Drosophila melanogaster: one gene and its partners. The protein of the gene in region 3 purifies or fractionates together with the protein of the main gene of each other region. This does not show direct contact. Each region holds a gene or a part of one and is shown on either strand. Other genes may lie near its edges.

Region 1 (6,064 bases), on a different chromosome or scaffold from region 3:
GCAGAAGTATATTTTCACCTATACTTCATGAGCTTTAGTTTACTTTTTGGTCGTTGCACACTTGAATACATATCGTACACCATATGATAAATATTAATGATATAAATACATTTTATGGGTAATCTAAATAGGAATTGTGTACATTTCTGTGAACGAACGCTGTAATGAACTACCAAATGCCACGGATTTTTCGCTAGCTTTTAAAAATTTTCCATTTTAAAATTTTTCCATATCATTTCTTCTTTATGATTAATGATATACCTATGTTTTTGTTGCAATAATATTCTTAAATGATATGTAATTAAAAATAAGCTATACAATACAAGCTTAGCAACACAAAAGTAGAAATCGATTTCTGTGTACTTTAAGCCAGAAACCGATCGTATGAGAATTAATAGCTTACAAAACCGATACACTTAACACCTATCAGTAAAAGGTGCTGTTTATATACAATTGAGTTTCCATTATAAGATTGATGCGAATGATTGCGCATACGAAAAATGATAAGACCGAGATTGTGTGTTTGAGCTTTCAGTTTCAATCTCCTGTATGCAAGCCGCTCGGATTTTCCTTGATTTTCCGACAGCTGTCAAAGTCAAAGCAATTATAAGCCGAGCCATTTGATGTCAGACTTTTGACAATTTCCGTTAATAAATTAAAAGTATCATTGCCAAAATGGGAATGTGAGGGTGGCAAACGTGAGCCATTTGCAAATGAGAAGAATGTATGAGAAGAATGTCACCTGGTGCTTTGCGACCGAAAAGGATTAAAGATGCACGATGAGTCAGTTTAGTGGGGTTAACGCAACGACCTTATCGCACTTAACAACTTGTTTGATTAAAATCGCAGGGCCCAAAGCCGAAAAGAGAGTAATGGGAAAAGAGAGGCGCAAAAGAGAGTGACTCACTGAAAAAGTCGACAACGTGGCGTCGCCGAGCGCCTAAAAAGCATTATCTTTACGTATATAGTATAGATTATCGATGATTCAAAGGAGTTTCCAAAACTAATTAGCAGTGGCATTGGTTATAAGAAGTAAGTTTTGGCTTACGTAGCTCCAAAATGTGACTTAAACTCATTACGTCATCGCCACAGCTGCAAAATACCTGAGATAGAGCGAGATGGAAAGAGAGGGGGTGTGCGGAAAAGGGGGCGTCAGGGGGCTGATAAGAAAACGGTTCTGTTGTTGTTGCGGAAAATGCCCGCAAACTTAAATACAACAAAAGCAACTACTGAGAGAACTGAGAGAGCAGCAACACACGCGACCAGAGAGAAATGGAGAGAGCGAATGTCACGAAGAGAGTGTAAAATCGATTTGTCACAAATAATTTGCGGCTTGCCCAGATTTTTTTTTGCGATTTAAACATCAAATAATCACAGGTAAATGGTAAAAACATACAGTTTTGTACTCACAATTCTTTGATCTGCATCTTTGCCAATTATTATCCGGTATTTTCCTGCTTGATTCGCTGCGAGAGAGTACAAAATACAGAATTAGATTTAATGCGAATTCGCTGGCGGATTTCAACTAAATTGTAGCATTTATTATTTCCAAATATAAATGCACTTGCACTCTACGCTTAACCTTCGCACGCACTTTCTATATTTAATTTACATATATATCTGCCAATAACACTTTGGTGTTTTTGTTTCGCTGCCAAATCGCTGCGCCCGCACTTTTTGTTTATGTTTGGCCAAGCCAACTTTAGTTTAGTTAGCCAATTGGGATTCTAATGCTTTTTCTCCAATTGTCGGCTAAACGCACGAGTCATATGCACACACACACTCTCTTGCAAATACACACGCACACACAGCGGGCGGAATATCAATAGCAATTTATGCGATTTGCCGCTGATTTATTACTTAAGTGATGACGTACAACTGGGGAGTGCGATTGGCCTGGTATCGGGATCGGTACGCGTTTGCAAATCGGCGGCAGTAATATACTAGTAATGAGTTTGTTATTTAGCTACTGCGTGTCCGGAGCGGAGCTAAAGTTCGATGTTCGTGCAAAACACTTCGATTCCGATAGGCGGATGCTATCGATTTCGGCGATGCCCCTTGGTCACACTTGGTGGTGGGCGCTGCCCGTCGCCGACTATCGATAGCACAAGCGGGTTATCTAGGTGTGCGCAGCTTGTTAGGGTGACTCATGCTGTTAAAATTATTATAAAAAGTTAATGAATATAATATAGTTATAATAAAATTATATATAAATCTATAAGATCAAAGATCATCAGTTATCATTTATCATTTGATTATATGAAAAACAAGAACAGAAACAAGATTTAATAGGTTTTTGAAATGTGAAAATGTGGGTTACCCCCAATTCTTATTCGAAATTAAATAACCTAAAGAACACCTACACAGATAGGTAATTTGCACATAAGCAAATTTTGTCTAGAATTCCAAATGGTAATAATAGTAGTAATAGATTCCAATTCTTATAAGCTTGGTGGCTCCGTCATTTCCTCCTTCTTGGCATCATTTCCCATTGCGTCTAGTGCGTCCTTCTCATCCTCTGGCGGTGGCGGCAATTCTAATCCTCCGAGCATACTTTCTGGTCGATTTGGAGATGGCGGTTCGGGAACGAGCTCTTCGGATTCGAGATCTATTTCGCGGGGTGCCTTACGAGTGGAGGGCCTTTCGAAATCCGGATTGCCGTCATCATCGGTGCGCATGCTCAGCGCGAACTTGATAATTCCCATGCCCTGGTAGTCATCGTCGATGGGTATGTTTCGGGCCCACACCTTGCAGCTGAAGAAGGTCTTCGCATTCTCGGGCATCTTGTTCATCTGGATGGCCACCACGCGCGTCACTCCTCTCATGTTCTCGGAGGCCTCGAAATATGGACCCGGATAGAAGACCATTTCGGGCTTGGGCCCATTGGTCACCTCGCAGGTGATCCAAATCTTGGGCGTGTTGCCCAGCTTGCCCACGGTGTCCTGAAGGCTCGCTGGCGCCTCCTTGGGCAAGTCATCTGGCGTGTCGTAGGTCTCCGGCACATAGCCAATAACCTTGTTCAGCTTGATGAAGACGGTCGGCTTTTCGGTGGCGTAGCCCCACGTAGTGTCCTGGTTGAAATCGGCGAAGAAGTCAATGGCATTGTCGTTCAATTTGTTCAGGAAATCGTCGATGCGGTCCGCAATCGGATTGACCTCACTCATGATGTGCGTAAAGTAGGCCAGCACGGATCGATTCTGGTTGGGCACCATCGACAGACCCGGCGGACCCTTGAGCCAGCGCGGCTTATTCGGATCAATGATGGCCAGCATAAAGATGCCCAACCAAAAGGCCACAATGCACACGATTAGGGCGTATAGTACCAGGTAGAAGCCAGTGATACGCATCCAACCCAGAGCTGTGCGTCCGAACAATTTGTGCTCGTCTATGTCGAATATCCTCTTCGACCACGGCAGGTCCTTCTTGCGACGTGTCTCCTGGTTCCGGCGTATCTGCTTGACCAGCTTGTAGTCCCCAGCGGGCACCATTACGTCCTCCGGCATCGTGGCGATCGTTCCGGTTCTGATTTGGCTACTGGTTACGTGGGCGTAAGTGGGAAATATTCGAAGCTTGTAGCTTCGGTTCACTATGAAATCTAAAGCGGAGTAAACTATAATTCTCAAATAGTTTTATTATTTTGTTAAGTATTTATTAATACATTAATAAATCCAGCTGAGTTAGCTGATCTCACTCGTACCACTCGTCCAGCACCAATGGAGTGGTTGGATGAACTGGTGCCGTCAGACGCACCAGCATCTTGACCGTTACCATATGGAGCGGTATGTTCTTAGCCCACGCCTTGCAGTGGATTTGGATGTCCTCGTTGATCGGAATGTTGCTCAACCGAACACTGATGATGCGCCTGAGGCGGGGATCCTCCTTGTAAGTAGGTCCGTCGTCGTCCGAAGACTCGTTGAGAAAGACATTGCCGGAGGTGAAGAGCTCTTCGGCATCGAAGAAGCGAACCGGATGGTAGTCGAACTGAATGTCCACTCTTGGCTCAATAACCTGGCAGGACACCCAGATGCGGTTGAAGCGCTCCTCCGAGCCCAGGCCCACCACATAGTCGAATAGCTCATCCGGAGCGTACTCGGGCAGCGTTAGGGCGTCATCGTAGGTTACCGCCTGGAAGCCCAATGCCTGGGTGATCTTTATTAGAATGCACGGCGTGCCGGACATATAGCCCCAACTGTCGTCTATGTTACAGCCCATCAGGCGCTTCGGGCCTTCGAGACCGTATCGTTTCACCGTTCGCATTATCGCGCGTTGTATGTTAGCCACATCCTTAATGTTATTAGGGCTCCACATAATTTGCTTCTGATCACCGACATGGTGTCCGGGTGCGGTTGCTAGTCCGGGGAACTTTTTGCATCCCGGCCTATCCGGATATATATGATTCGCAATCATCACGAGGGCCAATCCGGTTGTGAATACGCCCAAAACGAAAAAGAATCCGATGAAGTAGAGCAGCAGTTTGATAAAACGGCACACGGTCATCTCGGGATCCGCATTGCGTGTGCGAATGGAACGCCTGTAGAGGTACTCCGCCACACGCATATCACGACGCCGGCGAAGGCGTCCCAATTCGTAGGGACCAGAATAGATTATCGCGTCGTTAGGCATGGAATAATAATATATGGGTACTTAATTATATCTTATGGAAATATATGAGGGATTTCAGAAAGCTAGCTTGGGGTGGATTAGAAATATAGGAATGTATTCCGCACAGAAATCAGAAGCACTAATGTATATTTTTGAATAACGCGCCTTTTTGTCGATAACGATAGGCGTTAAGTGAACTCCTGTAGCCCTTTGCTTCGTAGCAGCACTAAGTATTTTATCGCAACCACAGCACGGTCATACTAAGCTTATGAGCAAAATAAGTGAGCCAAAATGGGCGATAATGTGATTCCTGCTCCGCTTAGCCGTATCCCGGGCACCAGCCAGGCGAAGGAGAAGCACAGCAAGGACCTGAAGACCCTTACCTATCCGCAGCTGCTGGAGATTAAGGACAGGCAGTCTCACTTTCTGTCGTTCAAGTGAGTTTTAGTTTCCACCTGTGGAGTTCCCTGTGAATTTATCTTATTTAATTTTATCTCTATTTAGAAAGCGTTTGCACCAACTGCCGGACAAGGGAAAGCGTCTGCAGGAGTCGTACGACAAATTACTGGCCGAGATCAGGAGGCGGGATGAAGTAGAGGAAGCGACTCGAATGTTGAGCGGTCTCAACATTGTCGAAAAGGGCAAAATTGCTCTCAACAATCTGGAGTGGAATGGCAGAAACACGGACGAGGGCGCCCATGTGGACGACATTCTGGACAGCGATGATGAGGTGGAGATGGATCCGCTGCGGATTATAGCGCAGGGAACAATGCACGAGAAGAAGGTCAAGGTTTTGCCTCCGCCAACGAGTTTCATTACGGCAGATGATCTGGCGGATATCGAGGAGTTTAAGAAACCAACCGACTCCCCAGATTCCGCCTTGGCAGGACATAGTGACACCAGTTCCCTTCCTGCCGAGATCGTAGAAATCGACGCCAGTCAAGTGGCCGCAAAGCTGAGCAGGGAGCTGCCTCCCGATCAGCATGCCCTCTACCTCATCGATAAGACGGAAACAAATGTGAATACTCCTAGGGAAAAGTTTATGCCATTCCGAACCACCAAGTCCAATGTCCACAATCCCGACAAGGAGCGCGTGCGCAAAAAGGGCAAGCATTGGGAAATAACGGCAGCAACTCCGCCACTCATCCAGCACAAAGAGGCCCAGTTGGTGCCATTGGCTGAGTCGGCTGCGTTACAGATTGATTACATGCAAAGAGTAAAGGTAATTTCATTGCTTATGGTCTACATAATTCGATGCTAAATACACTTTATTTGTAGGAGGTTCGCATTCAGCAGGCTGAACAGCGGCTGGCCAGGCTTAAAGACTCTCGACTCCGACTTGGCCTGCCCGAGGAATCGATTGTGAAAACCAAGGAATCCTTCCGCAACTACCGTGATCCCCAAGACACTTTTCTCATCGAGGGCAGGCAAAAAGCCAGCGAAGCGAATGAAGTGCAAGATC
Region 2 (7,882 bases), on a different chromosome or scaffold from region 3:
TATCAATCAATCATCGCTTAACAGTCGGTTTTTAAGCCAAATTCTTCTTCAATATAGGATGTGAAAACACTCTTCCTAATTTCTTATCAATTTTTTTATTTACTAGGTTTACTGAGAGGATCCTTTAACTTGTAAATAACACTTCCCCAGTGATATAGACAACTGGCGTGGACTGTATGGTTTCTATGATATGACTTAGTAGGAACTGTAGAGTTTTGGAACTGGAGTGCATGAGACATCTGTGAGTGCAATTGGGCCGACAACCGACGCCCCCGCTCCCGAGGAGAGTATCGATGACCGCGTGACAGGCGCAGCCGTTGCCAGTTGACATTTGCTGGACAGGATGGGGAAGGACGAACCGCTGTCCTGACAGCTGGACGATTCGGCATCGGGATCGGGACTGTCGCATAACCCACTTCTTATTAAAAACCTAAGCCAGCTTATTAAATGCCCGCGACTTATTAAAAACCCAGGGGGAGAAGTAGATACAAGTACGGTCGAAGGACTCCCCCAAGAAAAGGAGACAACTACTTGAATTACAAACTGAACTTGGCCACAACAATGTCTTTTCGTCCTTCTGGATATGAGTACACTTGAGTGAAGCGCGCCAAATTGAATTTGTAAGGCGATACTTTCTGAAAAACAAAAACAAAAGGGGGTTTCGGTACCAGAAGGGTTCATTACCGGTATACTCGTATCTTATCAATAAAGTTGCTATTCTGGGTGACAGATACAAACCAATGCAGCAGTAAAAACGCACTCTTTGTTTGTTTTTTATTGGGGCATCACCTCCGCAAACAAATCCTGTGAAAAGTTCCGATCGATGATCTATTGGTTTCTCACAGTAGCGAATTAAGGGGCGTTTGGTCCTTCAATTATCTGCGGTGCCGCACGCTTCGCTATCTTTAATGCCATTTTGGTGAGCCGCAAATGATTATCCTGTAATCCTTTGGATAAATATTAAATTTCAATTACGCCATTTAACATATTATTAGCCACCGATCGGCACTATCATCATCATTGGGCAAGTCACGTGCCGTCGAGGAGCTGATAGCAATCTACGCAAAAGCGAACAACCGCAACCCTCCGTTTCTGCAGAAACAGGCGTGGTGACAGCCCGCAAAGGATGCGACTGCAATTTTATCAGATTATACATGTCGACGGAGTCCCCCGGGAGTCCTCCCGCCATCCACCCCCTTGGTCCTCCTCAACAGGTGAGCGAGTCCAACGAAACTTTGTGTGAGAATTTTTCGGCCTTTCCCCGATTCTGCTCCCCTCTCCATTTGTATCGGGTTACCTTGCCTCACCCGATTGGCGCTGTGATTTGTCGTTCTCGAGCATTCTCATGAAATTAATTTGAAACGGAGTATCCAGGATGGATATCAGTTGAATTAAAACAATTATTCCAGGATTCAGTTAATTTCTAGACCATACATAAAATTATTATTACATCAGCTTTTAACAGTAACTCCTGTTATAGCTTACAGAGGCTGTTAATTTTTAGGGTGAACCAGGTTTGCTTATTTGTAATTAATATTAAATAAGAAAAAAAGTAATCATGGGCGTGACAAAACGAAAGCAATTCACAAGACCAATAAAAATTGAGGTACTAAGATCTCGACGTTCGGATACGGATGATCCTGATCTAGAATATATCAACTTTATGTTACATATTTTTACAATTTTACTCTACGAGTAACGGGTAAAATGTAACCAGTAGTTGCATAATTCTTTCTGAAATATATGTGTATTAGGAGAGGGATGAATGGACGCTCATTACTTTTAGTAAAATGTCTTATAGAGCAAATTGGTTTATATTTTTTTTTTAACATATCTCAATACCTAGAAGAACTTTTTTAAAGATCATTTGACTAAGAAGCTGCAGCTACAAAATAAATAACGAGAAGCAATAAGTTGAAAAGTTCAAAACTTGTCAGAATTGTCATATCTAGTTACCTAGCAAAAGATTTATCGAGTGACTGTCAATATATATTACATGTAATACAAAAACGGTCCCCTTGCAAATCCAAGCCGAAATCCTGTGCCAATAAGAAGTCGAGTTCCCCGACTAACAGATACCCGTTGCTCAGTTAGTGTGAATGCGCTGTGTCTATGTATCTAGAATCTGTATGCTGCATCACAACCTTCTAGCTTTTAAAGTTCCTGAGATCTCGACATTCAGACGGACAGAGGAACATGGCCAGATCGACTCGGCTATTGATCTTGATCCAGACTATATTCTAGTCTTGATTCTAGTATACCCTTTTACTCACGAGCAACCGATATAACAACCAAGATCTTTGTAATATATTATATATAGTCAGAAATTTGATGTGCTTTTTTTTCTGACAGCAAATATATCATATTGAAAACGAGCCACATTTAATTATACAAAATCATTTTTATTGAGAAAACTTAGGCTACAGTAAACTCCCCCTTAAAAACAAGAAAAGTAAATCAGTAAATTGTGCGTTGGCTCTCAGCCGCAGACACCCGTCTAGATTTTGGGATCCTGGGGCGTAAGCTTGACAATCTTCACGGACTCCTCCCAGATCTTGAGACCCTTCTCCTCATCGAGGGCAGCAGCATTAAGGGTGGCCTCCTTGCAGTCCATGAAGTACTTTCCAGACACATTGGCCACCTCATTGGATGTGGCCAAATAGATAGTGGTCTGGGCGCCGGCCTTGGTGGTCTTGAAGAATCCCTTGGTGATGGCCATCATGGGCAAGTTGAGGGGGAAGGGAACGTTACGCCAAATGCCCGAGTCGATCATGCCGGGATGCAGGAAATTCACTGTAACCTTGGTGCCCTCCAGCCGCTTGGCCAGCTCCCGGGCAAAGTAGATGTTCGCAAACTTGGACACATAGTATAAGTAGGCAGCCGGGAAAGTGCCGATGGGATTGAGCTTGGCCAGGTTAACCGACGACAGGCGGTACAGCTCCGAGGCTACGATGACTATGCGAGCCGGCGCGCTCTTCTTTAGTACATCGATGAGCAGATGCGTCAGCAGGAAGGGTCCATAGTGATTGGTGGCCATGGTCAGCTCCACGCCATCCTCACTCGTCTGTCCGCGGAAGGCCAGAGCCATGCCGGCATTGTGGATAAGCACATCGATCTTGGGCTCGGTCTTCACAATGTCAGCGGCGAACTCACGGACGGACTTCTGGGAGCCCAGATCCAGTTTCTTGACTAGGATCTTGTTGTTCTTCGTCTCCTTGACGATCTCATCTGTGGGAAATCAACAATAAATTACAAAATTCGGTTATGTAAAAAAAAACATGGTTAATGCAACGCCAACATATTATAAGATACTTTCTTTAAAGTAATTACAACGTAAATATTTAATAAAAAAAGATCATTGGTAGTAAGCAGTTTTTGCCAGAGTCTATAATCAACTGGATGAGACCAGTTATCGGAATTTGACCGTGTTGCATGTCCTGCCAGATCCTTGGCATAACCTCATAGGCATTGTCTTGGTCCACTTACCCTTCACTGCATTGGCAGTCTCCAGGTTCCTGCAGGCCATGATGATGCGGGCTCCACGTCCAGCCAGATCCTTGGCCGTCTCCTTGCCAATTCCGCTGTTGGCGCCTGTGATAATGACTGTCTTGCCCTCCATCTTTGTCTGTAATCAATGTCGAAGGTTAATCATTTAATACGGCGCTGCAATCGAAAATTGGACGAGGGCGGTTCGAAAATATGTTTACAATACTAATTAGTTGGCGCTTGTTCACAGTCACAGTAATCGCAGTTCGTCTGGAACGGAAGCTATCTTAGTTTTCAGACCCATTAACGGGTCGCTTAATTGCCATTCGAGTGCTGAGAGCTTTCTGTGAATCAGAGGTAAGCGATCTCACAGATTGTAACCGAGATACCCAGAAGCTTAGATGTTTTGTGGGATACGAACAATGTTCGGTCAGGTGGTAATCGTAGCTCAGAGATGTGACGTACCTCGCCTCTCAGAAGGTATCTAATTTAATCTGTAATTAAGTCGACGCGTCACAACTGACCAATGTAATAACAAGATTGAAACACGTTAAGTTTTCCTAGTGGTGATTTCATATATAGTTAAAAGATTTCCATAGTCGGAATGCTTGGAATGCTACAGAATCGTTTTAATTATATGGGGTTTTTCCAGATAGTGATATATGTAGTTTTCTATAGAGCGGTAAGCTGAACCATTTTCAATTATGGATCTGTAATGTTTATCTGAATAGTTCGCATTTATATGAATATATAAAATTTGTAAAAGTTTTGAGCGATTAATAAGCTTAAGGTCGTGTCCGAATACTGTTTTAGTAAACTATCCCACCATCATTTGTATGTATATGACAGCTCATCTACAAGATCTGAAAAGAATTCGCAGCGGAAGTGGGAGCAACAGCCATATAAAGTGCGAAATATTCGAGTCGTGTCGCGATTCTGGGGAGCATGGGACTTGGTTTTTTGGATTGGGTGAGGTGCGTTCGTTACCTCGGTGAAACATCGTCCCGCCGTGATGCGCAGATAGAACCGAATGCTCATCAGGGTGGCCACTATGGCGGCCACTGAAGTCATGAGGAAGATGTCGCGCACATAGTGCTCGGTCGACAGCCAACCGAAGATGAAACCCATCCTACAAATATGCCGAGGTGTGTATACTATATATTGTATCTTCATATACGTATATATCGGTGTCAACATGCAAATCAGATTATATAATAACCGAAGCTGCCAAAGCCAGACGATTGTCTTAGGGCATAACGAAACGAGTTTGGTTTTGGGTTTTGGGGTTTCATGGTTTTGGGGATATTGGTTAGTCGGCGAAGGTTTTCACAATTCAAATCGTTTATCAGTGACTGTCAATAAATCAATTTCGAAAACTGTTGAGAAAACTTACACTTTCACTTTCACACATGTGCGTAATTATGGCTTATTATGATGAAACGCCGAAAAAAATAACATTCAACCAAGTTCATTGACAGCCCAAACGAAAGAAGGTTGAACAAGAAAGAAAGTCTGAAGTTTCATGTCGTTTTGAGTTTCTGGTTTTTTCTTCTCTGTTTGTTTTTTTTTTCCCCCACCGTCCACGTCACAAAGATTTCCAAGAGCTTTCCTCAAGACTCGAAGACTGGCTCTGGTTACGCTTGCATGCACCATTTAAGAACCCCCCCAACCGAACCACGCCCTACAATGCAGTCTCGAAAAGAAACAAGATCTATAGATGTATGAAAAAGTCTAGAAGTGACCCGTTTTTGGGTTTTGTTCCTCAACTTTTGCCAGTCGGAGACGAGTTTTTTAGTGCAAACTCACCTGTTTTGGCTGTTGGCTGATCTATAATTTATTCCAACTTCTGCTGACCTGCACTTTGGACTATATCTGCGCTGCGAAATGGAATTGGTGGATCCAAGAGCTAGTGCCACAACCTTCGCCTTGAACGACTAATCGGAGACTGAAGTCGGAATTCCGATTATAAAGCCGAGGCTGCGGAGAATGCGCGATCGTCTCCACCGGTTTGGTATTGCCGTGGTCGCGGTGATTTTGTTATTGCACTTATAGCCATGGTAACAGGTTAGCCAAGCGGCTTTCCGGGCTCCTCTTTGGGATCGTCTTCATGAACGGTTCACTCGCAGCGAAAGAGCGAGCACAGAGTGGAGCCAAACTATAATACATAGTTACCAGCGGTAAGAGAAAGATCTGGGTAGTGGATTCCAAGAAAGTGTGTCTAGAAAGCCACCTGTCGGGGGCTTCGCAAAGCTTCTTTTCTAGTTATGCAGCTCGAATGATGAGCTTGAAATAATGTAGAAAATAATAATGGATAGTAATTAACTTTTTTAATGACCAAGACTTTATTACTATTTGAAGTACTACGGGTAATTGTATAAACATGTCAGATAAAAATCTATTTTATTTTTCATTTCATATATCATTAACCGAGATACCACTGAAATATATCAACATTCTTTTCAATTCAATGCATTTTATTATAGAGATGACATATTCACAAGTACAATAAAGAATGCTCAACAATCTACCACAAGCTTAGTCTAAGCCCGTCTAGTTCGTTGCCTTAGTCCTGTATATAGCTTTATTTGAAAAATATAATTCCCTTAGAATTATCGCTCAAATATAATTCCTTTGAATGCAGTAATGTTTGAAAATAAATATATATTTACATTCGGTTATAATGCTGGCAGTTTAAACAAGGTCATATGGTAATATAAGTCATTCTACTTCTCAATGCTGTTTTGTCGGCGGGGTGGTTGGGTTTCCGCATCCGTTTCCAAGTGCTTGGTTAAGGTGTTGTACCATTCGTTCATATGGTTGGATATGATGTTGATGAAGCGAGATACCTTTGATTTCATAGTGCTCACGAGGCTTTCGGAGAGTTTAGTCAGACTACGACCAGAGGCCAGCGAATTCTTGCTGCTGATCCTCATGATCTTGGATTCCTTTTCCTCCCTGGGCTGGCTGGCATCCTTCTCTGCCTCGTGATCCATCTTGTACTCGTAGTAGGTGTACCTTCCCAGCGGCATCATCTCATCGCGATCTGCCTTGTCTATGGCATTGGAGGGCAGTTCAGCCAGGGAATTAGTGTTAAGTACGGCACGCCGCCTTCTCATAGCTGGTAAATCCCACCAGGAAGTGATACCCTCATCGGCTGGCTTTTGAGGCAATTTCGAATGAAGAGTAGGCGTTGCCTTCTTTCCCTCAAAATGATCCTGTATGAGGGACTTCCTACCGACATTCGCCGACTCCAGGGAACTTTCCCGCATGCCCTCATCTCCTAGAGAAAACTCGTGTTCATGCTCGTTGATGTGGCTGAGGAAATGCTTTCCAAGCTCTTTTTGGGCCTGCAAAAAGTCGTTGGCCACGTGACCTAGCCTGGAGTGACGCCTTCTAGCACTTGGCACCGGTTGCACATCCTCCTCGGGCTCGGACTCTTCAACAGACTTGGGTTTTTGGGACAGACTAGCCTTGGCCATGGTGGCCTTGCTGGAGAAGGGTTCCGGAAATAGCAGTGAGTTCAAGGTGGCTCCCAGATTTAATCGCTTGTTCTGCTTGGGAGCTGGTAGGGCCTCAAAGAATTCCGTGGGCAGTAGACGCAACTTGGGACGCCCTTCTGTTTGCTCCGGTTCCTGCTCCTGTTCATCCTCTTTGTCCTCCCTTTGAATGATCTTTAGCTGACTCTTGGACTTGGTCCTGCGCTTTTTGGGTACCTCCCGCTCAAGTTCCTCTTCGTTTTCCACCTCCCCATCCACAGTCTCAATGTGCTTCAGGTGGACATCACCCTCTGGAAGCCGTGTGTAAGTGGGTATTTCCTCGGATTTCTCTCCAATGCGCTTGAAGAACTTCTCCTCATCGAATTCATCGAAGTCGAAAAGGGGCTTATTCTTCTTTTCCGGCTTCCGGATCTCAGTAATCTTCTTCGTCAATGCTGTCTTCTTACCCTGGCGATTGTAGAAGAAGGGCCCGGAATAGCTGGATGTGTCGCGTCTCTCCCGCTTTTTGCCCATGTCACGGGTGTGCTCGAGCACTTGATACAGCCAGGCCAGAGCTTTATGAGGCTTAATAGCCTGTTCTTTGGACTTGTTCACTTCATCACCCACATCCCTCTTCAGCGGACCGTCATCCTTGAAATGGTCCAGTAGTCGATCTAGTAGGGTCTGTGACGTTTCCTCCTTATCAACGACAAATCTCCGATTGCGATTAATAGAACTCTGAACCGAGCCTCGGGCAACTGCAGTTTCCTCGATCAATCGTTGGAGTAACCGATCGGCGGAACTATAGCGGAATGATCGGCGCTTCTCCTTGGAGGACTCCCCACTCGAATCGCCTGCCTCGATCTCCGTGAACTGGCAGTGTTCCAGATTGACATCGGGCAGCACCCAGAAACTCACCG
Region 3 (6,303 bases):
CTCGGCCGGGATGGGTCTGGGACGCGTGTCCTGCTCCTGGCTGCTTGAATGGTGGTCCCGTTGGTAATGGTGGTCCTGGTGGATCGACTGCGGTCGACGTGTTGGCGTTGCAGCTTAGCCGTCGATTTGTCAGAAGGCGCGAGTCCCTCTGCGCGGTGACTAACCCGCTTGTGCGACTCGGATTCGGATTCGGACTCCGTCCGGCAGTGCACCGCGTCCAGGTGGGTCGGAGTTGAACCACCAGGCTGGTGAGCTTGGAAGAAATGCCAAGATGAACTAAATTGTGGTTAAGATCGAGACTATTCAGTCCGGAGCTTCTTCTGCCCACTCGATGACACCCATCCCATTCTTAGCTCACTTCGGGGTCACCTCTGCGCACTGGATTCACTACGGATGGCGCTCCGCAATCAGACAACTACGATGTCAAGTTTAACTGCAATTATTCTCAAATGAACTTCCCTTGAAATGCAATTTAAGGCATGTGTCTAATATATGCAAACAATTTACGGCCGGGGGCGCAAAAACAGCAGCAGCAGAGCGGGCCAGGACATTCCAGGGACAATACAGGACAGGACAGGACAGGACAGGAACATGTGGACATGTGGGGCAAGGGACACAACAATGCTGAATCAATATGCAGAAGAACGAGGGCGCTGACGAGCCAACTTGGCAAACAAGAAGCGTGACAAAATGATAAAGTGTCGACTCCGCCACGAGGCCAAGAAAACAACAACTTGTTGTGCAGGATGGGTATGGGTATGAGAATGGGGATGGAGATGGGAATGGCTGGTAACGGAGGCCCAGGCCGGGCAGGACGCAGGAGCAGAGTGGAGCAGAGCCGTGGCAAAGTGAGCAATAAACATACGCGATTAAATTCATTATGAACACTCGAACGGCACACAATACGACTGTGAAATGACAAACCTGATTGCGAATGTCTGAATGTCTGTAAGCATGTCTCTGGTGTGGTCTTGTATGGCATGGTATGGTATGGTCTGGTCTGGTCTGGTTTGGTCTGGTCTGGTCTGGCCTGGCCTCTGGGCGAGATGGTGTAGTCAGCTGGGGCTTGTCCCTCGGAGTCCCACATCAATTCAGCATTGTTTTGTCGTCTGGCGGCGAGCCTGAACGGGTCCTAGCTACTCTGAGAACGGGACACGTTCGTGACTTGTGTGGCTGAGGACTCCACCACCGTCTCCAGCTTCTGGCTTCTGGCTCCTGGCTTTTCCCACGTACTTTCTGTGCCAGTGATTGGAGTGTGCGTGTGCGATTACTAATTGCATTGCTGATATTAAATCAACATGCTTCCGCACTGATTTCTAACCGAGATTCGTTCGGTGCACGGGCTTGGGACATGGGCCATGGTCACCTGGCATCCAGAAGGCCACACGATATCAGGAGCAGTCCCAAACCCGTTGGCAGACAATTGGCTGCCCCTAATTGGTCTAATCAACAGTTGGCGAGTGCCCAAACTAACCAACGCGAATTGTTGCATATTGTCTTCGCTGCCAGATGCGTATGCCCTGTGGCCGGTTACCGGGCGGGGGAAAGAGTCCTCGGCGGTGATGCGATAATTGCTGTCACAAACAGTGGATGTGGATCTGCATCAGCATCTGCTTAACCATAAACCGTGCGCCCACCCAGCGGCAAGTGCGTTTGTGTGCACGTGTGCGCGGGTAATGGCGCGGCATGCACCACAATTCGCCATTCACCATTCGCCATGGCCTCGTTTGGCCATCGCCTTTGCTGCCTGCCTTCACATCCGCATCCCCATTCCCATTCCCATTCCCATACACATCCACATTCACATCCATGGATGACAGGTCATGCCCGCTGGTTTTAGTCAATTTTGGTTTGTCGTATGCAGGCTCGGAGGTTTGCAGGCTGGCAGGTTAACTAGTTGTACCAGCCGGCTAACCGACCAGCACCGCCCGTGGAACGAATCGCGGAGCAGGCGGGCGCTAGGATATCCCAGTGAGCAGGAGCAGCAGCAGCAGAAACAGCGTCCACACGGACCGTGTGCCTAGGGGGCAGGAGTTCTCGGTGATCCAATCCCGGAAGTGGTAGACATCGGTGTAGATCCCAGCCGAATCAGGCTCGCCGCAACCCATTCCGAAGGACACGATGCCCGTCACCATGTTGTCACAGATGAGGGGCCCGCCCGAGTCGCCCTGGCAGCTGTCCACATCGGAGTCGTGCTTGTCATTGGCGCAGAGCATGCCAGCGTTGGACCAGCCCAGCAGCTTCTCGCAGAAGGTGTCCGGCAGGATCTGCATATCGCCGTTGATGGCCTCATCTGGCAGTGGTCCGAACTGCGGAAGGGGATGGGAGCTTAAGGACTCGAAGTTCCACAAGTTACTCGGTAATCGATGCTCACCTGAATGACCGTGCCCCAGCCGACGATGGAGCACGGGGCCCCGGCCACCGGAACCTTGTTGTACAGAGGTATTTTGGCAACGGCATCACCCAGACTGAGATCCGCCTCCAACAGAATCAATCCTATGTCGTACTTCTGCGACTTGCCCTTCTTGTACTTGGGATGCGGCAATAGCTCCTCGGCCTCAATAATCTGTGTTGTACTGCTCTTGAGCAGCCTCCTTGGCGTCCCGGCAACGACCATCAACTTCTTGGCCTTCAGCTTTCGCCGACTGGTGGAGTCCACTGATCAGCACTGATCCCCATAAACACACACACTGCACCTGCCGCTACTCACTTGCTGAACATGCAATGGGCCGCCGTGAGAATGGCCCGCTCGCTGAAGATCGTTCCCGCGCAAAAGTGGTTATCGCCGAAGAACTTCTTCGGCTTGCCCATGCGCAGCGAAACCGTGTACTTGACCAGGTCGTTGGTATCCGGTCGATAGCCACCAGTGACCAGGAACTGAAAGTCCGATGGTCGGTCCTGCCTCTGACTGGGCGCCGAATGCAGCTGGCCCGCCTGTGATTCCGAGTTCGAATTGGCGCTTACGGAAATCAGCAGTATGTAGACAACAAATTTTGACGGACACATTTCTAATCGTTTTCCAATAGAAATCTGACACTAAAGTGACTTACATGTGTACATATGTACATATAGGAGTATTATTTTTCGATGAAATGGGGGCCAGAAGCAGAGGCCGGGAAATGGACGCACTGTCGCTGGAAGATAGCGTTTGGCAGCCATCTGATAGCTGATGAAAAAGTCTCCTTCATAAATAACTGGCTATCACAAGTGTGCGTGTGGAGTGTGTGGAGTGTGGGGAGTGTGGAGCAACAGGAAGCGTTTTTTCCTTTATCCCGGCTGCGAACTGCAGTCGCTAGAGTCAAGTCAGCCCGGCCGAAACGGAGCCCCACGACCATGTGCTTATGTACATGTGTACTTTTCGCAGGCAAGTCGAGTTTTTCCCCTGCACACTAAGTAGTTGGTTGTTTCATGTCACTTAGGGATGCCTCCCTCCGAGAGTCCTGTGTGGCGGGCACTCGGCGGCCTGGGGTGAAGGTGTCGACCGGGTCGTTATCATTAATTTGCAGCCTGCTTTTTGCAATAATTTACAAGACGCTCCCCTACTCCGCTTAGCCTTGGCCACCCCCCAACCCAGTTCACCATGGAACCCTTCTGTGGTGGATGGTTCGAGTAGTCAGTCGAGCAGCAGGCGACCTTAAGAACTCCGAGCAGCGAGCACACTGGTGCCGTGCCACTAGCACGTAGCACTTGGGCATATTTAAAGCTAAGTAACCAATTTCCTTCCATCCAACTTGGGTTTGGGCCCAGTGTGCGCTAACTTCCGGCTGCCTTGGCCAAGTTTTTAAGTTGACTTGTCATTTCGCCCGCTTACTAAAGACAAATTTGTGCGGCAGAACAAAAAATGGTGCCCATTTCTCACCCTGCGACCCACTTCTTCAGACCACTTCCCACTGCCCACTTCGCGCCTGCGAGTGGAGCTTGGAGCTTGGAGCTCGAGGATGTAGGCGAACTCGAGTCGGCTCCACATTTTTACTCGGCAATTAAAAGCCCCGACAAAGTGCACTGCGTGCGTGTGTGTGTGTGAGCAAGAAATGGCAAAACACCGAAATTTATTCGATGAGCAGTTGGCGGCAAATCTGAATCGGATTTCGAGACGAGGAGGGAGCAGGAGTAGCAGCTGCACAAGTTCCCCAGGAGCCCGGTTGGGTGGTGATGGTCGGGGGAAGGCAGCTGGGAGCAGTTGTCACCGGCCAAACAATTATGGCACCTGAATGCCCTCAGATAGCAGACCGCCAGACAAGCCACACAGACGTGCACAGACATGCAGAGACGTGCGGAGACTTGCACGGACATGGGCGGGCATGCAGGAGTGTGCTCTTCGTATTACTTATCGCCACAGACGATGCCGAGCATTGATTATTGTTGCCTTTTGCAGTTTTAACTAAAACGCACTCGGTCGTGGAGCTGTGAAGTTGCGGAGCAACTGCATCCAGCGCTGTGCTATGGTAATCGTAATCCCCTTGGCCATCCACACACCCCTTTCCCCCTGCATTTGTTTGCATACATTGATTGAATTTGTTTACGCCATTAAATTTGCAAATTGCTATCGGCAATTTTGCATAAACTGCAGTGTAAGACTTTACCGCACAACTCTACCGCCCCACCGCCAATGCTCCATTGTCCGTGGCCCGTCCGTGTCGGTGGCTTCGGCAAGGACAAGGCCAGCGCCGTCCATGCCAACCCTCGTGTGAGTCTGGCGTACGAGTCATTAACTATTCATATGGCAGACCGAGCAGCAGGACCAGCAAACCAACAAAGCAGCAGGCAGCACGGGGCAGAGCCACTTGATGACACATTTGATTCCGCCTGTCAACGGCCGACAGCCATTGCAAGTCCGGGTTAGTCCGGGGTAATTGTCGCCACTTCAGTATTCAGTATCCAGTATCCAGTATGCAAAATCCAGTATCCAGTATCCAGTGTACAGTGTCCAAGCAACAGACTGCAGACTCCGGAATCCAAAATCCGGAATCCGGACTGAGGACTTTGGCTGTTAGCTGTTAGCTGTCAACTAAAAGCCCTCAGCCAGAGCGAGCCTTGTGCAAGGATTCGGGACTCAGCCGGATGAAGCTAAGTGGGCTTGATATCCGGTTGACCTTCGTCTGATTCGCATTTAACAGGCATAAACAGTGCTTAAGCCGCCGCGAACCGGGGAGTCGGGGAACTGGAGTGGAGCGGAGGGGAGCGGAGTGGAGTGGAGTGGAGTGGATGAGCGGTGCATGGGAAATGGAAATTGAAATTATACCACCCGCGGGGAACTTTTGCACAGTGATATAGCCCCGGGCTGGGAAATCGAACTGCGGATGGCTTAAAGACTTCATGTGCGAGAATTTAAAAACCGATTCGGTTCGGCTTGGTGCGATGATGATGATGATGATGGTGATGATCAGGTAGGTGGCAGTGGGCCAGGAGGGCGATATATTTACATTAGCCCGGCAACCCACTTTAACTTGTGTGGCCCCTCAAATTTATGATAAAAGTTGTGGGTCACGCGAGGAGGAGCTGTGGCCCAGCACTCGATATTTCAGTATTTCTCATTTCGAACTCCATTCGGGTCAGGCGCTGAAGGTCAGCGATGTCGTACTGGATGCCGTGGTTCTGGAACCATCCGATCTCTCCATTTGATTCGACCATTAGCTCAACTTGGAGGCCCATCCCGAGCATCCCGGGCATCCCGGCATCCCGGGCATCTTGGCTGCTGCAAATTACTTTTCCGCTCGAAAGGAGCAGAGTAATGAGCATAATCCTAATTATCCCTGTCATCATTTCGCTTCGGCCAGAGTCGCATGGCCATCTCTGTGGCCGCTCTCTGTGGCCGCTGTGATGTGCCTGCAGCTCTGCTCTGCAGGCACATTGTCCCACCTTTGGGGCATGCCGTGCTCTCCTGCGCTCCTTGCTTAATTACATTTTTTCCCCCGATCCCCCCTCCAGCTATCCCATCCCTGCCCCTGTGATGCACTCCGGAATTTTTCCACGGCTGATTGAATTTGGAAACGCTGTCGGCTGCACTCAAAGTTGGTCTCGTCTCTGTCCGCCAAATTACATTAGTAGCCGGGCAATCGCGGCTTATCTTATTAAGAGCGGTCATAGATACGCGCCGCTTGCCACTTGGCCAGAACCACAATCCACACACTGGAGATAGCCCATCCAACCGAAGGGCGAGTCAAGCAAGGGCTCGGCCGACAACAAAGGCTTCATAAACCATGGATGCATGCTCCTAAAATGTCTATATTCTCGAAGCGCTGCCTTTGCCAGTGACAGAAGTCAGAAGTCAGCACACAGCACGTTCAATCTGAAATAAGTTTG
Region 4 (10,415 bases), about 11 Mb from region 3:
TGGTTATATGGTCATATCTGGTTAACACATAAGCATAATCATAAGCGGTTTAGTGCCAAGTGAAGCCCCACGAATCTGGCGGCGAAGTTGCCAATTGTAGTTACTAGCATCGTATCGGTTGTCATTTGCGGTTAACTACTTGGGGTGCTAATCACACAGCGACTGGCCATTAACCCATGGAGGCCCAACAAGTGAGAGTCGTACAGCAGCGTTAACCGCAATAGGTATCTTTTCAGTTTTTTTAAGATAACTTGGCCAAAAATTGTGCAATTTGTACAAATTAAACTGTTTTGAGCAGCTATTTATCATTGCTAACGATTCCCATCACTTTTTGAAGGATTTAGGGAAATTAATTTTTGGGTCAATTTTTTGCATTTTTTGTAAGGGGTAACATCATCAAAATTTGCAAAAAAATCGCGAAAAAATAGAATCCTTATTTTTGAACAAAGTTGGATTGGAAATTAAATTACGAGCTCAACGAGGTATAACATTCCATATTCAGACAATTATTTTAAAAGTTGTGGTAAAAAAAACGGATTATTTATTGACCGAAATTCGAAAAAAACGGGTTTTGCCAAAAAAGTGATTTTACAAACGGAACTTTTCGTCATAACTTCTCTAAAATTTGTCATATAGATAAAAGAATTACCTTTTTGAGCAGCTATTTACCAATACTAACGACGCCAATCATTTTTTGAAGGATTTAGAAAAATTAATTTTTGGGTCAATTTTCGCATTTTTTTGTAAGGGGTAACATCATCAAAATTTGCAAAAAATGGCGAAAAAATAGAATTCTTATATTTGGACACAGTTTAATTGGAAATTTAATTACGAGCTCATTGAGGTATGACATTTCATATTCAGGCAATTAATTTGAAAGTTGTGGCAAAAAAACGGATTTTTTGATCACATAAATTCGGAAAAACAGCTTTTGCCAAAAACGTAATATTTACAAATGGAATTTTTGTCATAAATACGCTAAAAATTGTTATATAGATGAAAAAATAACTGTTTTGAGCAGCAAATTACCAAGGCTAACGTTCCCTATCATTTTCATCGAAGAATTAAGGAAATTTTTGAATACAGTTCGATTTGGTATTTAATAACGAACACAACGAGGCATCTCATTTTATATTTGGACCATTATTTATAATGTTATGGTAAAAAAAACGGATTGTATTATGATAGAAATAACAATATTTATTCTTGGACAGAAAACTGCACAATTGGAAAATGTTTTTAGTGAAACGATGTAATTAGTTTATAAGGTTTTCCCGTAAGCTGTAAATTTCGCTCAAGCAGTTTTATTTCGCCCACACAAGTTGCATTAGTCCAGCTGTACATACAATGTCATTTATGTGTATTTTTTACTTATACATATAACGATGGCATTAATTTACTTATTTTCGTTCTACAACAAGTAATTTATATTTGCCGATATATGTATGTATATGTAGCTATATCCACTTTGAATGCAAAATAAGCATCCAAACACATGTAAGTAAATTTCCAAAAAAAGTTTTTATCTACTTTTCATGGCTTTTATTCCTTAAAAAACAAACACGTATGTTTCATACGCCCAGTTTAATTTTTTGACCGCTTCCGTAAAATTCTTTATCTGTTTCTTCTGTTTATGTGTGCCACCCAGCCAGTTGAACCGCCCTGCTGTTAATATTTTGACCGCAGCTGTACCATATGTTATCTATTTACCCTGTTTATTCTTTCCCCTAATTTAAATGAGACTTTTTCATTTATTCAGAATTTTTATCTGTTTCTTTGTTTTTTTTTTTTTGTCATGAGTTATGAGTTTTCCTAGTCGCCCATTGCTATTTTTATGGCTGCAATTGTTTGTTGGATAAGATGAGGGGGGTGAGTGCAGTGCACTGCTTGCTGGCCAGTGCAGTGCAATAGCGGCATCTCGTCTCCCGCATCGCATGCACTGCTTGCTTACCTTCACACGCACAAAAGGGGATCCCATCAGCTCGTTGAGGTCGGTCATGATGATGTCGCTCTCCTGCTCCTTCTCGCTCGCACTCAAATGCAGTTATTGCAGCGGCTACCGCTCTCTCACTCCCACTCCTGCTGCTGCCACACGCGGCGCAGACAACAACAACAATAAAACACAAAAAAAAATGAGTCGCACAGCTGTTTTGTTATTTTCGTGTGCAACAATTTGCTGAAATCGTTCCACTTTGCGTCTATTTTCACTTGCAATTCACTTTCAATTGGTGCTAAAAGCGCAATAGCTTCACTGTATGAGTGTATCTGTGTGCGTCTGTGCGTGTGTGTGTGTGTGCGCGCACTTGTTGGTCTTCTTTCGTTCTCCAAATGTTCTTGTTGTTGCTGCTGCAATATTTGGCAATCGCTGTTGTTGTTGCTGCCTTTGCACGGGGGCGTCAACAATGAACGGCGAATAACGAGTGATGTCAACAACTATTAGCTAGCCGGGGGCAAAAGTGTTATTTTCTTTTATACGCTGGAAGGCGTCAGCGCAGCAACACGACCAATTGCAATTTAAATTAAAATTGTGATGTGTGGGCCAATGTGACCGGTCGCTGTTCCGCTTATACATGCCAGTTATTATTTCGGTGTGACCGTAGCTATAAAATGCGACAGGCCGTGTTAAATACTGAATAATACCAATAACTGGTATTTTAGTTTATCAGCGATCTTCCTTCTCTGCATGTGAATGTGTGTGTGCGTGTGTGTCTGTTTATGTGCGTGTGTGTATGTTTGCGTGAGCCGCTGATAACGCAGCTGATCGGGCGATTCCATTGAATTCAAGTTTTCAATTCGCAGAGCATGGCCAGCAACTTCACCCAGTCCCAGCCGTCCAGGATCACCAGCTACATGGTCAACCAGCTGCAGCCGACGGCGCAGGAAACGAAGGTCAGTCAGACAATATCGGACATAACCTTGATCTCCTTGGCACACGGATTGTGTCTCAGTGAGATTATCGGAGCACCTACATACATATGTTAAATTCAAAAATGTATCTACTTGCAGTTGGCGCTGATTCCCAGTGCACCCCAGTGGCGCTCCCCCCAGCTGATGGTCGTCTTCGAGGACGGTGATCTGCACTCAGCGCGCCACCAGTTGCTCCAGTCCCTGCAGAATCCCTTTGCCGAGGGATCGGTGGCCACGTTGCTACTCCAGGAGAGCATTGCCGATCAGTTTGTGGGCCTAGTGGCGCAGGATTTGCGTCCGTTGTCGCAGGAGGTGTCCAAGCATCCGAGCTACACCAGCACGCTGGCCAAGATCGAAGAGCTGAAGGCCAAGACAGTACAAGGCGAAAGCCTTAAGGCTGGGGAATCACCCGTCTTGGTGTACGACTGCGTGCACAGCTATCTGGGCAATGGAGCGACGGGAGTGGTGACGGTGCACACATTCCGCACAGCCAAGGAGGCCGGCCAGTTGGCCAAAAGGGATCCCCTACCTTACGGCCAAGTTAGTCTGTGGAATGAGAAGCTGGGCTGCGCCTACGAACTGATACCACGACTACCGAGCGATATTGTGGCCATTAATTGCTTCAATCCGGACTTGGATCCCATCTGGGAATCCTTTGCTGCCGACCGCAACGATGTTCTGCTGGCCAAGAACTATCACTATGAATCGCTGGTGGTGAGCGGCAAACGGAGGATCGTCGTCTTTCCCGTGGGCACCATCTTCGGCAACTGAAGAGTGACAGTTCTGGACTTCGACGGCGACGAATCACATCCGGAAGGAATTACATCCAGGTGCTTTTTAAGCCATACTTTAAAATACCTCTCTAAGCATTTTACATGTAGCTTGGGGCATCCTTTTCGACAGTTCAATTGGAATTATATCGAACTAAATTAGGAGTTATGTCAAACAACTAGCATTTAATGTGGCTTAACTTAGAAATTATCTGATTTTGCAACCATCATAATATTCCAATTGTATTGCGAAAAGGTCCTTGAGTCTGAATTGTTTTTTTGATACTCTGTCAATAATTGTCCACTGAAAAATCATCAGCCAACTTTTATGCATCTGTGGGAATTTGGGGTAGGTCCACGAATCTCTGCATGCAACAGGCATTTTTTCAGGACATGCGCAAGTGCTGCTCCAGAAATAGAAATCCTGCAAAGCAGTTTAAATGGAAGCAGTTGAAGGGCACACTCATACACTTGGGGCCAAAATAATAGCGCTCATTTTAGTAAACTTAACATACTATGAAGTAAATGAACCATTTAACTGATAAACTGGTAATGATTTCAATGAAAATTTTTAAAAGAACATTTTGTTTTGTGCGAGCTACGCAGCGATCGATCAACTTAACCCTTTATCTTATCTATTTCATTGTAAACGGACAACAAATATGGAAAAATTTCCAGATGTAGAAATGTACATACTATGTGTGGAATTTAGGTTTTTGCTCATTTCTTTTGTTCTCTAACTAGAGCCTGCTTGAATTGACTTACATACATTAAAAGAGCTTGGCTACTTAAACGTAGCTATTGTGTTAGCCTGAGTTGTTTGAGTGTGCGTGTATTTGTGTTGGCAACTAAAGTATACTTTGCCTTTCTCTCCTCGTTGTTTTTATTCTCAAGATTTTAGTACAAATTCCCTTTTTGATTTCGACTATCTGGAAATTAGTTTTGTTTTATTGTTTTTATTTTCTTACAAATAGTAATTTTTCAGTGCTGGCAAATATACCATATCGCCGTTTATAGTTTGTGTGTGTGTGTAAACTAACTGTAACTAAACAAAGATAGTATACTTAAGTTAGTTCACAACAATACAATTCACACTGCACTCTCTTCTCTTCTCGCACATCACCCCCTTTCTCTTTGGCCCTCTCTAATGCTCTCTCTCTCACCCACTCTCTTTCGTTCTTGCATCCCCTTCTGTGACGTAGCGCCGCACCATTCATGCTCCACTTTCACACGGGAGAGAGCGAGAACGCCACAGAGCCAGCCATTAGAGAGGGAGCGAGCTGTGGTGACTCCAAACGCAGTGGCGCAGCAAAAGGGGCAACTAAACAATGACTGAAATTCCCAAAGAACTACGCCATCATTCTATCGCCAGAAAGTATTTACTCTTCTCACTCGAGGAATCCCCTCTGTGATTTTGGCTCGCCACCCCACAACTACGCCACTGTTACCCCTCTTGTGGTTAGAAGCTACGTTTGCTGGCGCTGCCTTTTGCTTAGGTTTGTTGTTGCGCTGTCCGTTGCCCGTTGCCATTTGCCAGTCCGTCAGTCTGCGCTGGTTCCCGCTGGCGTGGTGAGGTGTCCGCTCGCGTTGCCGCTCCCGTTCCCGCTCCCGCTCACACGGCTCTTGATTTTGGTGGACAAGCAAACCGCTTCCGCCACCGCTGGCGATACAAATACAATAACTACACTACAGCTGCCGCTCCGGCAGAGAAAATGCGTTGGCAGTTGCAGTTCCAAACGCTCAAAAGACGCTCGAAAAGCACAGACCGCCAAGCACCAACATCTCCAATCGGAATCCACGAAACCAAATAGAGCGCCACGATGCCACCGCACAAATGGACGGACGAGTCGCGGGACGCCTCCTGTTACTACGATCCATCCACCTCCTCCAATTCATCCGCCTCGGCGGAGCGCTCCGACGACGAAGCGGACGACGAACGGGAGGCGTTTTGCTCCGGCGAACGACCGCTAATCCGCTCCAGCGGCGCTGCGGAGGGTGAGTAGCTACAAGATACACAGATGGGGAAAGATATTTACCTAGCTATAGCATATGTAGGTGGAGCAACGTAGATATGCGTATTACAAGCTCAAGATACCTTTATTTATTTAAATCTTTAGTGCTATTTCTGCTTCATATTGATTTGCATTTATGTATTGTACATACATATGTCCTGGGTCAGTACTTTTATTAAACATAAACTCTCGGAATATCTGTGTAAAAAAAAACAGTACTCAACGCAAAGATACTTTTTGTTGTAAACAAATTTCATTTTACGTATATCCAAGACACTCTAAAATTGTATCTTTCAATTTATAATAATTCTCATTTAATCTTAAAGTAAGATATTATATGGCTTATAGATTTCAATAACTAATAAAAATAATTAAAATGTTTTTATACATATAACATAACATACATATAATATAAAATAACCTAATAATTACGCATAAATTTTAATTTTCACGTAATACTATCCAGTTATCCAGTTAACAGCCTATGCCTATGTATAATTTATTCGCCAAGGGCCGAAATTACGACTTGTTTACATTTACTGATATGAAGCGAAGTTTTTCTGAACTTTATAGAACAGTACAAATCTGCATTTCAAATGGAACGGAGGGCCGATAACTTTTTCGATGGTATCAGATCGTAATATTTTTATTTTAGATTTTATACTTGAGCGATTCCTATGAACAAGTATCTGAAAAGAAATTAAATTCACTGGCAATGGCATCTCATGTAAACATTTCTAAAGGAATAAAAAAGTGAAGAAATTGAGGCAATTTAAACTATGCAATGATAACACATTGAATGGTATTTAGGGATTTTCAGTGTAACATTGGGCCTTATCGAGAACGGCGAGAACTTTTAAGTAAAACCGGAACTGATATCGTTATTACGCCTCCTAAACCATAGCTTACTAACCATCCACTCTCTCCTCTCTCCACCCTGCAGAAAACCATGGCTGTGGCCCAAAGACGCGTCACATTTTCGGATTCATGGGCTTCCTGGGATTCGCCGTGGTCTACGCGATGCGGGTCAATCTGTCGGTGGCCATTGTGGCCATGGTGAACCAAACGGCAATTCCGCACAGCAACTCATCGGTGATTGATACGGACACGTGTCCACTACCGGCACCACATCACAATGGTAGCGATCCCAATCCGCAGAAGGAGGGCGAGTTTGTGTGGGACGAGGCCACGCAGGGATTGGTGCTCGGCAGTTTCTTCTATGGCTATGTGCTAACCCAAGTGCCCGGCGGACGGATGGCCGAGCTGTATGGTGGGAAGAAGATCTACGGCTATGGAGTGTTGATCACGGCGGTCTTTACGCTTATAACTCCATTGGCTGCCCACTGGGATCTGCCGCTGTTGGTCCTGGTCCGCATCCTGGAGGGAATGGGCGAGGGCGTCACCTATCCAGCTATGCACGCCATGCTTGCCCACTGGATACCGCCGCTGGAGAGGAACAAGTTCGCCGCAATCGTCTATGCGGGCTCCAATATCGGAACAGTCATTTCCATGCCGCTGGCCGGATGGCTGTGCTCGCTGGACTTCCTGGGTGGCTGGCCGTCGGCTTTCTACATCTTCGGACTGTTGGGCATTCTGTGGTTCATCGCATGGATGTATTTGGTGTACGACAAGCCTAGCGATCATCCCAGGATCTCAGAATCGGAGCGAGAGTATATCGAAAGGAGTCTACAGGTTCAGAGGCTAATAAATCAGGATCTAGCGGAGGCCGAGGAAGAGGAGGGACAGGATGAAGTGAGTCTGCGGGCGCCGCCGGAGGAACCGATACCCTGGTCATCGCTGCTCACATCCGTACCTCTGTGGGCCATCTTGTTGACGCAATGCGGCCAGGGATGGGCCTTCTACACGCAGCTAACCGAGCTGCCCACCTACATGAGCAACATCCTACACTTTGACATCCAGTCGAATGCTCTGCTCAATGCGGTGCCGTATCTAACCTCCTGGTTCGTGGGCATTGCCTGCTCCGCCCTGGCGGATTGGATGCTAGCCAGACGCTACATATCGCTGCTGAACTCGTATAAGTTGTGGAACACGGTGGCCTCCGTGGTGCCATCACTGGGCCTGATTGGCATCATCTATGTGGGCTGCGATTGGGTGTGGGTCACCTTTATGTTGGCCGGCGTGGGCTCTTTCGGCGGCGCCGTCTATGCTGGCAACCAGATGAATCACATAGCGCTCAGTCCACGATATGCAGGCACCATGTATGGCATCACCAATTCGGCGGCAAATATCTGTGGCTTCCTGGCTCCGTATGTCATCGGTCTAATCATCAATCATCGCGAGACTCTGACACAGTGGCATCTGGTCTTCTGGCTGGCGGCGGGCTTGAATATAGCCGGTAACTTCATCTACCTGATCTTCGCCAGCGCCGAGGAGCAAAGCTGGTCGAAGACACCACCCACACGCAACTCACGATCCCAGCGCGCTTGAAGCAAGCCTAACTATACGCTATTTTAGCTAGATCATAAGCATTTGTGATAATTCCGATATATACACATATATCCTACATATGTATTTGGGCTCGAAGTTTTCCGGATGCAGGACAAGAATGTGGCTTCCAAAAAGAAAAAAAAAAAACGAAACGAACGAAACTAGTGCTACCAAATCGGAATGGAAAATCGAAAGGATGTTAACTGTTTTAGTGTATTATATACGTGTATCGTCCTTTTATATGGACTTTTGTTTTGCTAGGCGTCTTTTTTTTGTAAACAATTATACCAATACCAACTATATATATATATACATATATATTTATATATCTATCATATACACGCTCGAAGGCACGTAGATCTGTCGAAATAAACAGCACAAACATATCGAACTGTGGCACCTGATTTAAGCATTTTATTCTTTAACTGGCAGGTGGTTTTCGTGTATCCGACTAAGTAATACCTCTTCATTGGAGAATTATGATTTGATGGGTTATTTATTTTATGCAGCTACTAGAGTCTTGGATTTTTAAAACACTTTTAGGCTTTTCATGTTTTTGAAGGCTGTAAAAATGTTGCATAATTTCAGGGGCGAAGTGTTCATGTCAAATTATGCCTAAAACATAAATGGGGTGTATAAAAAGTATCTCAAAATAGTGAGTAATACTTTGGTAGTAAAATGTTTGTGCGTAGAAACGATAATATATAATTAAGAAAGATTAAAGCAATACAATACCTTCTTCATTTTACAGCTTTAAATCTTAATTTTAAAGGTTTCTTATATTATGATTTAGAAATACGAATAGAATACCTTCGATAAAGCTCTGTCTTTGGTTCTTTTAGTAACTTTTCGTAGGTTTAAATGTTACAATGTTAAATGTTAATTTTCTAAATAAGTTCATTTAAACAATATGCATCCGAGATTTTGTCGCAGCCTCAGTTTTCGTTTATGATTTCAGTTTTCGGTTTCGTCGTGATTATCGTGGCATAGTTTTGGCCCCTGTCCGTCCGTAAATCTGTCCGTCCGTTGACGTGAGGCGTCTCTGGCTGGGCTGCCACGCCCCCTTGGCCACCATACACACCTGCCCCCCCCAAAAAATTACTTGCCTCCCCTTAAAAATATGGGGGCATTAATAATGGTTAAGTGACTTTGCAGTTTTTATGTCGCAGTCTCTCACGCTGTTTTGTTTGTATTTTGCGCTTTGTCTTATTGTCAATTTTCTCCCCATTGCATAACAATCCATAGCCCCCTCCCGCCCCCTTCCGCTTTTTCCTCCCCCCGCTCAGCGATCTGAGTTCCCCCGTGAACTTCGCAGGGGCCATAAAAACATAGCCGCCAAATTTAAGTGAAAATATTTTGGCGCCTCTGTTACAACAGCGAACCTCTCTCCTCCATACACTGCGACAAAAAGTCAGCGTTTTTGATCGAACCAAACTTGAATGTGATTTAGGAATAGTAATATGGATATGGTAAAGTATGATTGCATCATTTTATGAATATTACACTACATGTTTTTTTTGTCATCACATTTCTCTAAGTGTACACTCACCTGCGCTCATTTGGCCGTGCGTTTGCGTTTTTAATTAACGGCAGTTTCTTCTATTGCCACACGAAAGATTGCAAATGAAGTAATTATAAAAAAGAGATATAAAATTTTGAGATGGGGAAAGACGGCGTGGAAAATAAAAGTTTAAATGTTACGACCAACATTTCGGTTCAATTTCATCCGTGCGATCTTCCGTGCGTTTTGGTTTTTCCTTGCCAAGAAATGCGTTCATGGTCAAAATGTCAGGCGTGACGCAAGCGCAAACGGCAAACACAGCAACAAACAATTAACATCAGTAACAACAGTAACCGCAGTTGAGCATCAACAATGGCATTAAACAGTAACAAAAACGCCAGCAACAACCCTCGACAAGTGATCCAAAAAAATGTGAAAATTTGTGCAACCAAATATTTGGTCGAATGATTTTTAAAGTGTCAAAACCGATTGTCGAGCGTGCATCCGAACAAACAATCACTCGCAGAAATCGAACAATGGTTCTAATAAATAGGCAAAACTGCATCCAAGATATGAAATGTATCTTACGGATACGAAAATCAGTGTATTTGCCATTTTCAAGGTCTTATTGACAAAGCAATTGGATCATAAATAATTTATTAATTAAGATGTTTCCGATAGAAATCGCTTAACACTGAACATGACCCAATTCCAATGTTTCGCAGGGGAAACTCAACAAAAAAAAAAATAATAATAATAAAATGAGCCATTTCAACT

Evidence for each region.
Region 1: the proteins of CG3795 (region 3) and CG11703 purify together in Drosophila melanogaster (affinity purification with mass spectrometry, with the first as the bait; one large-scale study listed by BioGRID). This does not show direct contact.
Region 2: the proteins of CG3795 (region 3) and CG7675 purify together in Drosophila melanogaster (affinity purification with mass spectrometry, with the first as the bait; one large-scale study listed by BioGRID). This does not show direct contact.
Region 4: the proteins of CG3795 (region 3) and CG15717 purify together in Drosophila melanogaster (affinity purification with mass spectrometry, with the first as the bait; one large-scale study listed by BioGRID). This does not show direct contact.

The regions. Positions count from the first base shown.
Region 1 is NT_033777.3:19,224,605-19,230,668, forward strand, and holds CG11703 (uncharacterized protein), read right to left. Parts: upstream 3,577-6,064; 5' UTR 3,504-3,576; coding exon 2,442-3,503; 3' UTR 2,299-2,441; downstream 1-2,298. Other genes in the region: vib (vibrator), read right to left, coding at 1,411-1,427; CG5250 (uncharacterized protein), read right to left, coding at 3,688-4,623; Polr2M (RNA polymerase II subunit M), read left to right, coding at 4,894-5,039, 5,107-5,824, 5,881-6,064.
Region 2 is NT_033777.3:18,375,740-18,383,621, forward strand, and holds CG7675 (uncharacterized protein), read right to left. Parts: upstream 5,440-7,882; 5' UTR 5,293-5,439; intron 4,998-5,292; exon of another isoform or gene 4,880-4,997; intron 4,616-4,879; 5' UTR 4,615-4,615; coding exon 4,474-4,614; intron 3,626-4,473; coding exon 3,487-3,625; intron 3,229-3,486; coding exon 2,498-3,228; 3' UTR 2,385-2,497; downstream 1-2,384. Other genes in the region: CG14309 (uncharacterized protein), read right to left, coding at 6,210-7,882.
Region 3 is NC_004354.4:1,707,131-1,713,433, forward strand, and holds CG3795 (uncharacterized protein), read right to left. Parts: upstream 3,053-6,303; 5' UTR 3,007-3,052; coding exon 2,711-3,006; intron 2,646-2,710; coding exon 2,375-2,645; intron 2,310-2,374; coding exon 1,959-2,309; 3' UTR 1,676-1,958; downstream 1-1,675.
Region 4 is NC_004354.4:13,126,300-13,136,714, forward strand, and holds CG15717 (uncharacterized protein), read left to right. Parts: upstream 1-2,718; 5' UTR 2,719-2,802; coding exon 2,803-2,889; intron 2,890-3,006; coding exon 3,007-3,678; 3' UTR 3,679-3,737; exon of another isoform or gene 3,738-3,991; intron 3,992-4,693; exon of another isoform or gene 4,694-4,879; 3' UTR 4,880-5,497; coding exon of another isoform or gene 5,498-5,672; intron 5,673-6,632; coding exon of another isoform or gene 6,633-8,137; 3' UTR 8,138-8,266; downstream 8,267-10,415. Other genes in the region: CG32638 (uncharacterized protein), read right to left, coding at 1,952-1,999; MFS10 (major facilitator superfamily transporter 10), read left to right, coding at 5,498-5,672, 6,633-8,137.